Linked DNA regions of Xenopus tropicalis. The protein of the gene in region 2 purifies or fractionates together with the protein of the main gene of each other region. This does not show direct contact. Links are inferred from orthologs where the notes say so. Each region holds a gene or a part of one and is shown on either strand. Other genes may lie near its edges.

Region 1 (4,095 bases), about 30 Mb from region 2:
ACAAAACCTTTAAGCATTTGCTAGGAAGCTTCAGCATGTCAATAACCCAAAGAAGACATCTAAATCAACAGCTCCACTTAACAATGTTCTGGAATGACCCAGTTAGAGCATAGGAGATGTCTTCGCAATATGACTTTTGCAAGTCCATATGTGCCAAAGTGACTAGTTCAGAGGGTGTGCACACTGTGAGCACACCTAAACTAGACAGTTTTGTAACAAAATAGACTGATACTTGGAGCTATGCCACCTTGTATTTCTTTTCTCCTTTTTTTCACTGTTTCTAATTTGTTTTCAACTACTTTGTATAGACTGCAATTTTGCAATAAAGGTTATTTAGTTAAATAGTTATCAATCCACCCATATATAAGGCAAGTTGTGTTTTTTATATTTTATGTTGCATATGACAAGTATAATTCAAAGATGACAAAACTGCCATTGGGCAGGACAGGTGCCATAAGAATCAATTTGATAGCCACAGGCAGCTGCTAGAAATCCTGGTATAAATTATAATATATTTTAGGGCAATGAAGGACTGGGTAATTTGCAGAACTGCCCCACCATTTACTTGAATAGCCAGGGTCGGACTGGGCCGCCGGGACACCGGGAAAAATCCCGGTGGGCCCCGGCCCTAGTGGGCCCCAGCGGCCCAGTCCGACCTTTGCCGGCGCTCCCCCTACTGACTGTTCCTCCCCGACGCGTTCAATTTATACACGCTCGGGGAGGACGTCAGGCGGGGGCCCTGGGGGGGGGGTTAGGGGACGTGGCTGGTGGGCCCTGCACCCTCCAGTCCGACCCTGTAAATAGCAAGCTCACTTGGGGGTGCCAAAATGTTAGGCCCAAGTGACTTTAATTGCTTAGCTTTTACCCCGGGCTGGTGCCCCTGTTCGGAGAAAACCGCACCAGCCTGGGGTACCTGCGAGCAAGCGTTTGCTCTTCCTTATTTCTTTTGTCTTCGGAATCCCTGGGCCGGCACATGCGCAGTAGAGTGAAAAGCAGACTTTTTTGTTAAAGTTCGACTTTTCACTCTACTGCGAATGCGCAAGCGCGCGAAGACAGGAGCAGGAAGAGGAGGCGCTTGCTCGCAGGTACCCCGGGCTGGTGTGGTTTTCTCCTAACAGGAGCACCAGCCCGGAGTAAAAGGTAAGGCACTAATGACTAAGCCTTTCCTTCTCCTTTAAGCAAGTAGTTGGCATAACTGTCTCTATGTGTGTTTTAGCACAATTCTTAGTACTGTCTATGGCAGAGTATTTTCTGGCGTTCTGTAGCCGTAACGAGTAGCATCGTATTTTATAGCCCTAAGTCCACTGTGAAAGCCATACCATTCCATATAACATATACTGTTTAAAAAGAACACTTTCACAGACTAAGAATTTATGCTCTCATGTTGAAGGTGGGCCCAAAGCACTGAATGAAAGGGGAGGGAAGTACTTTTTCTTTTAGTACTTGCATAGTTACCAGCATTTGAGCCTTTTCTTTCCCCCCACTAACACTATACAAACAATACTGGTTCCTATACACCAAACACCGTCTCCTTGGAAACTGACAACTGTCAGACGCCTTATCCTTAACCCTTTCGGTGGCTGGACTCTATCATTTTACTGCACCATATGTTTCCAGAAAAAATGCAGTGCTGCTTCAAACTAAACAAACCCATAACTGTAGAAACACTGCCACTATGACTACTTTATGCCGTTGTCATGCATTCTATGGTACCAGGTACTTATGAGAAACATTGAAAAAAAAACAAAAAACCCTATTTTACTTATTATTATTAATACAATTGTGAAGCATGAACGTATTCTACAACATTGCACAATAAATGGATATATACATTACGCATACAAAAACACATCCAAAAGCAACCAGTACCCAACACAATACAAGAGGAAAAGAGGGCCCTGCCCAAAAGAGCTCACAATCTTCCACAGCAAACCTTTTGCAATCATTTATGTGAATCATTTTATAGTAATTAGTTTAAGACACATGGGAGGCATTAATATACTAAATTAAATTACAAATATATATATATATATATATATATATATATTACAGTAGGTACAAACAATAGGGATGTCACACTTAGGGGTATATTTATTATGCTGTGTAAAAAGTGGAGTAAGGCATTACCGGCCCAAGCTAACCAATCAGCAAGTCAATTTCAACAGTTATTAAACCGAACAAACTATCTGATTGGCTGCTATGATCAACATCACTGATTGTTGTTGAATATTTCACTCCACTTTTTACACAGTATGATAAATATGCTCCTAAGAGATTATGGGATGAGTTTTACCTGCTGTGCCATATCCCTAACACACTTAGAACATAAGCCTCCAATACATGGGAGTGTAATCTTTATAGGACAGGGACCTCCTCCTGTATCTCTTAACATAAGGAATGCCATCATGTTACTGTGTATATTACTTTATTGCAATACTTGTCCCCCAGCAGAATAACCTTCTGAAGGACAATACCCTGACATCAGAGCCTGGATTTCCCAGCAGCCACAGTAGGAAGTGAGGGGAAATACAAGATAGTGTGATGCCTGATGCTGTTGCAAGGGCTAAGATTGCCCTGAGGTACTAGCACTACAGCTCCCAGCAGGCACAGCCATTTACAATTTACTAGTACTGTATTTTCAACTGCTAGGGGGCTGCAGGTTACACAAACACTACTAACTATTAAAACAGCACAAAACGTATGCCATGCTACATTGTGTCTACTGTAATAGGGGACACACGCCCACTGTATTGTAACAGCAGCCCCCGCAGCTCAAGGAAACCCATCAACTGTACGTACTGCCCAGCTGTCACTGACCCGGAAACCCCCGGACCCAGGTGCTGGGCAGCAGCATAGGCAGTACTTCTACCTGCTACACACAGCCCATACCTGTACGTGTTACACACAGCCCATACCTGTACGTGTTACACACAGCCCATACCTGTACGTGCTACACACAGCCCATACCTGTACGTGCTACACACAGCCCATACCTGTACGTGTTACACACAGCCCATACCTGTACGTGTTACACACAGCCCATACCTGTACGTGTTACACACAGCAAACAGATCGCTCCAACTGCAGCTCAGTGAATCCCCAGGCCGGACCGCAGGGAATGCCAAACAACAACGCGCCGCAGAAACTGTCCCTCACCGTGACTCCGTAGGGGGAAAGTTCTAGACTGGCCGGGAACTTGCAGAGGGGATGAGCAGGGAACGCGTAAGGCCAGAGCGGGGAAATGAAGCAGAGCGGCATCTGCAGGTCAGGAGGAGCAATGACACATTTAGAAGCAAGCTTATAGCTGAATTGACCTGACAACATGCCCTAATAAAGTTCAAGTCGTGTCACATTCACTTTCTGGCTTCTTGTAATGGGATTATATGGCAAAGGAGTGACTAAGGGAGGTGATAACAATAAGTTTGTTGTAAGTCAGTCTTAGAGGCCATTTCCAGGGATACCTTATAGAAGATTGTAAGCTCTTCTTGTAGATTGTAAGCTCTTTTGGGCAGGGCCCTCTTCACCTCTTGTATGGGTTATTGATTGCTTCATATGTTACTCTGTATGTCCAATGTATGTAACCCACTTATTGTACAGCGCTGCGGAATATGTTGGCGCTTTATAAATAAATGTTAATAATAAAAAAAAATAATAGAAGCTTAGGGGAGAAAATAAATATGTTCAGGTCTTAAATACAAAATGAAGGTATAGTGAGCATTTATTTTATAATAGGCTTTGCTTCTTCTTTATATTGTACCTGTGCCTAGGGACTGGCACCTGGAAAAAGTACCAGCCTTCTTATATTTTCAACTTTTTTCCCAGCATCAAGCATCATTTTGCTATCCACTTGTAAAATACTGAATAGGTGGCAACCTACCTGTGCCTCTTATTGCTGGCAGCTTCAATCCTATAGTTGATCCAAGTACATAAGTCTATGGCACACTGCAGATTCTGTCGCAAGTGCACGATTATGTCGGAATGAATTGCGGCAGCATTCATTGTACCGTACAATTCCTTTCTTCTCTATCAGATATAATATTAATGCCAGCCCAGTTTATATGCGCTACTAACCAAATTATTGGTACAAAGCCAAAC
Region 2 (4,182 bases):
GAATAAGTATGTGATGCAATTGTTATCAAGACAATCACTCTGGTGGTCTCCACAAGTGAGTATCATCTGCTGTATTTGCTCAAGAATGCTCTTGGAGGAAACATCATGGGTTTCAAATTTGCTTGTTTAACTTGTTTATATTATAAGTAACACAGAGTCAGCATTGGAATATAAAGGATTGTATGTCTGGGTCTCCACTGACTCACTGACAACTTTTCTGACCATATTTATTAAAGCTTTTCAAAATACACATCAAAAGTTATGTTATATAGCTTGTTTATGTAAGAAAAATACTGATAACCCCACTCCCAGTGCTTGTTAAACATTTATTGCTTAGCATTTCTACACAATACTGTAACTAAAATCTATATACCCAATGATAAATATATACAGTGTTAAACATAGCTCCAAAGCTATAGCCATCCTGAAGGGATGCTTAAATAAAGCCCACACATAGGTGTACATAAAATAATGGTCTCAGTTACATCACAGAAATGAAATTTTAGAGAAAAATATACGTCAACATGCATGCAACATGAATATTAATATACATGTCAATGCAAAGCTATTTTAACAGTTTAAGTCAAGAGCATGGGATCTACACTGAGCAACCCATACACAGTGAATACACCCCCCAAATTTCATTTCAGCTACAAACCTGTACTAGATTTCTGCATTTTTCCATATGTTCAAGCTTAATGATTTGATTTTTGTCCAATATCAGAGTTTGTGTGTCATTCCCAAAAGGAAGTGTAGGGCTCAATTTCTGAAGCCCTTGTCCTGAGAGGTCAACCATAGAACCTAAGAATTAGGAAAATTTACAAATAAGAAAATGACAGATGACCTAACCTCTCCTTTACTGAAAACAATGACACGTCTCACAAATACAAAGAGTTGCACTTAATGGAAGCAAAATACATACAGTACATATCTAGTATAAATAAATCTAAAGCAACTGGACTTGTTAAGTATTCGTTGAAGACGTTCCACTACTCATCCGAGCAGCTTCTTCTGAATTGGATGTACATGCAGTACATCCAATTCAGCAAACGTTTTACATGTATAACAAAAATATATAGCTCAGCATCAATATTGCACAGTCAACATTATGTTAAAGGTTTACTTCCTGGCTGCTCATCATGTGTACCTGCCACTGAAGGTCTACAGGTATTGTTTCTGTCTCCTGAAACAATGTAGCAAAAATCAGTTTTCCTTAATGTCTGTTAATCAGCTGGCTTCTGCTAAACTGTTTCAGAAGCCAGAACCAGAAGAATAAAGAATATAAACAGGGGAATCAAGAAGTACAGGCAGGCACTCTGGATAAATGAAACGTCCTTAGTAGCTCAGCAAGTTGAAATAAAACCAGTATAGTTTATTTAAACTTACACATAATGCTATGAAGCCTTACGCGTTTCGTACCTAAATGGGTACTTAGTCATAGGCTATAGATGTCATGTCTATAGTACTTAGACATGAGCCTATGACTAAGTACCCATTTAGGTACAAAACGCTTAAGGCTTTATAGCATTATGTGTAAGTTTAAATAAACTATACTGGTTTTATTTCAACTTGTTGAGAAAGTTTCATTTATCCAGAGTGCCTGCCTGTTCTTCTTGATGTCCCATTATTGGCTCCCTGAAGCTGAAGATCTAGGGCATGAGCATGCGGACCCTTTAATATTATGGGTAAAAATTCTACTTCATTCACCTGAGTCCTATGTATTCTTTGTTTTTTGGATTGTTCATAGAATATAAACAGCCAGACAGATATTGCATTCAGTAGTAGTATTAGAATATTTATAAATTATATTAAAAAACAAAATTGTATATTGGAAAGCTGCTTAGATTTAGAATTTCTTTCAATGCACAAGTTTTGGGTGGAGGTGCCCTTTAATAGGGTAGAATGCCAGCAGAGATAGAAAAGCCTAGACAAGATGGGCACCCTATGGAGGGTAGACTGATAATCTCTTGCTGACACTGGTGAATAGACTTGCTACTTACCTTGACTCTCGCAAGCCAAATGTGCCACTGCCATATCAGCTGGGTTCCTTTATCTTAGCTTCGATCAGCCACGTATGTTGCCACAGTGGGACTACAGTGGTGTCATTTAGCTGCAAATCAATAAATAATGTATTCACTATATTTCAAAAAGTATTTCATGCTTATTCTCAGCATTCTAAAATGTATAAAAAAAAGAATGTATAAAGTGGGCTTATACCTGTATCCAGGGCTTCCACTGCTATACACACATTGTGTACTAAATGCATAACTGTCAGTTCAACAAAGAACATACTTTAGGGCTTCCCCACAACAGGTACAAAAGGAAGAAGCCTGCTTATCTCAATATGCAATTAGTACAACATGAAAGAAAAAATACATACGGTAGCGATATGTTCCCTCTTCTCAGCGTTGTCAGTTAAACGGTCACTATGGATGAAGCGTTGGGTTATGGGGATTGTAGTCCAGTGTTTAGGCCCCGCCTTGAATTTTACACACTAAAGAGAAAGCTCTCTAACACAGCGCTTGTGTCTTGCACTTCCTGTTCCATCGCCGATCTTAATGACGCCATCGACACTTCACTGGTCATATCTTGGAAAGGTGGACTGGAACAATTCCCCCCAATCTTACATGGCACAGCTAGCCTCTGAAGAGACTGATACACAGAGCCTTTGCACAGAATGGCAAAGTGACCAATTAAAAAAAATAGCACAGTAACCCCCCACTCTCAAAGAATAAACGGCTCCAAAATTTAATGATTAAAGCACAAAACGACTCCTATTTAGAATTACGAATCTGCAGTTCCCTCCTCGCTAGCTCGTTTGTTTACTTGGCCCTTCCCGGAAGCTACTGCTTTATCATGTTTTCTCCTCCTCTTTTGGAACTAGCGAATAGCTTAGAAGAGCTCTCTTGTGAATAACTGTAAACCAGACTATGATTGGCTAACTTAGATTGGCTAACTAAGATTGGCTAAGTTTTGGGCGGGGCTACGCTACAGCTAAAAATGAAAAATACAGTAAGGAGGGTAAATGGCAATGACCAAGACAGGAGGAAGTGGGAGGAGCAAGGATCGGGGGGGGGGGGGCGTGAATAATGATGGGGTTATAGAATGTAGGACTGCTGATGGGAATACACGTGCAGAAGAAAGCGCATTCAGGACTGCAGTAATATTAATGCATTCCGGCAACGCTTCAGTTTTGCAGGTGTGATAATGAAAGGGATGAACTGACCAATTATGTTCTTGTACAGGGCACCAAAGGGATAAGTGGGGGTTTGATATAGTCACGCTTCTTGTCCATAGGTATGAAGTTAAAATCAAGTACTACCCTTCCAGCAATCTGGGTAAAGGGACATCAATGTGCTCTGGGCCCTTCAGTAGTATATTGCAATATTGGGCTCAGCATTCTCTGTTAGGATGATGAAACTTATAGCTCACTAATAGACAGAAAGCTGTGGGATCATGCACAAACCTTTTCAAGTACACAGATAAGGCATCAGATCACCTCTTTGTAATAAAATGCAGTAAAATCTCAAGTGTGTTAATTATATGGGTTATGTATCCCTGGACATAGGTTTCATGACAACCACCTACAAATGTGGACTTCATTGTTCTTCAGAGGCCACTGTATTCTGAAATGCAAAGGTCACCTTCAGAGACATTTGTCTGCCAAAGTTAGCAAGAGCAGAGAACAAGATGAACTTCCAGTGTTTCAGTATGTGGGCGAGAGAGCAAAAAGGAAGGAGCGGGTATTCGTTTGGGGATTTTCTCACACAGGAGCATTGGGCATCCCCAGTTTTGTCATCCCTGAGACCGGAAGAAAGAAACCAAAAAAATTCCAGCTAACGCCCTACAGGTTGGATATGGATGAAAAGGTGAGGTATAGGGGAAGCTTATGTATAATCTACTTAGAAAAATAACAATCATCTCTAATTTACCAATCAATTTCCCCTTTATTACCAACATGTAGTAATACAGAAAATTACCAATTACCAATTTAGTAATTCCCTCATAGAGAAGTATTGTACTAAACCTAAAGGGATTCTCCAGACCCTGTCTGCTGTGCCTCCTTTATTTACATACTTTTGTATGAAGACTGAAGAAGGTTGGGCGATGCTGTTCTATAAATGAAAGCAGCAGGCAGGGTTGAGCTGGGGTAGCCGTATGGCGGTGGGTGGGTAGCATCCT

The links.
Region 1: the proteins of cep97 (region 2) and sugt1 purify together in Homo sapiens (affinity purification with mass spectrometry; 3 studies listed by BioGRID and IntAct, with this or other methods). This does not show direct contact. The link is inferred for Xenopus tropicalis from reciprocal best matches to the Homo sapiens genes CEP97 and SUGT1.

What each region holds. Positions count from the first base shown.
Region 1 is NC_030678.2:132,229,785-132,233,879, forward strand, and holds the start of sugt1 (protein SGT1 homolog), read right to left. Parts: upstream 2,925-4,095; 5' UTR 2,890-2,924; intron 1-2,889. UniProt on the Homo sapiens protein: May play a role in ubiquitination and subsequent proteasomal degradation of target proteins.
Region 2 is NC_030678.2:101,944,001-101,948,182, reverse strand, and holds the start of cep97 (centrosomal protein of 97 kDa), read right to left. Parts: upstream 2,878-4,182; 5' UTR 2,381-2,877; intron 2,111-2,380; 5' UTR 2,035-2,110; coding exon 2,001-2,034; intron 802-2,000; coding exon 659-801; intron 1-658. Other genes in the region: rcc1l (RCC1-like G exchanging factor-like protein), read left to right, coding at 3,591-3,869. UniProt on the Homo sapiens protein: Acts as a key negative regulator of ciliogenesis in collaboration with CCP110 by capping the mother centriole thereby preventing cilia formation. Required for recruitment of CCP110 to the centrosome.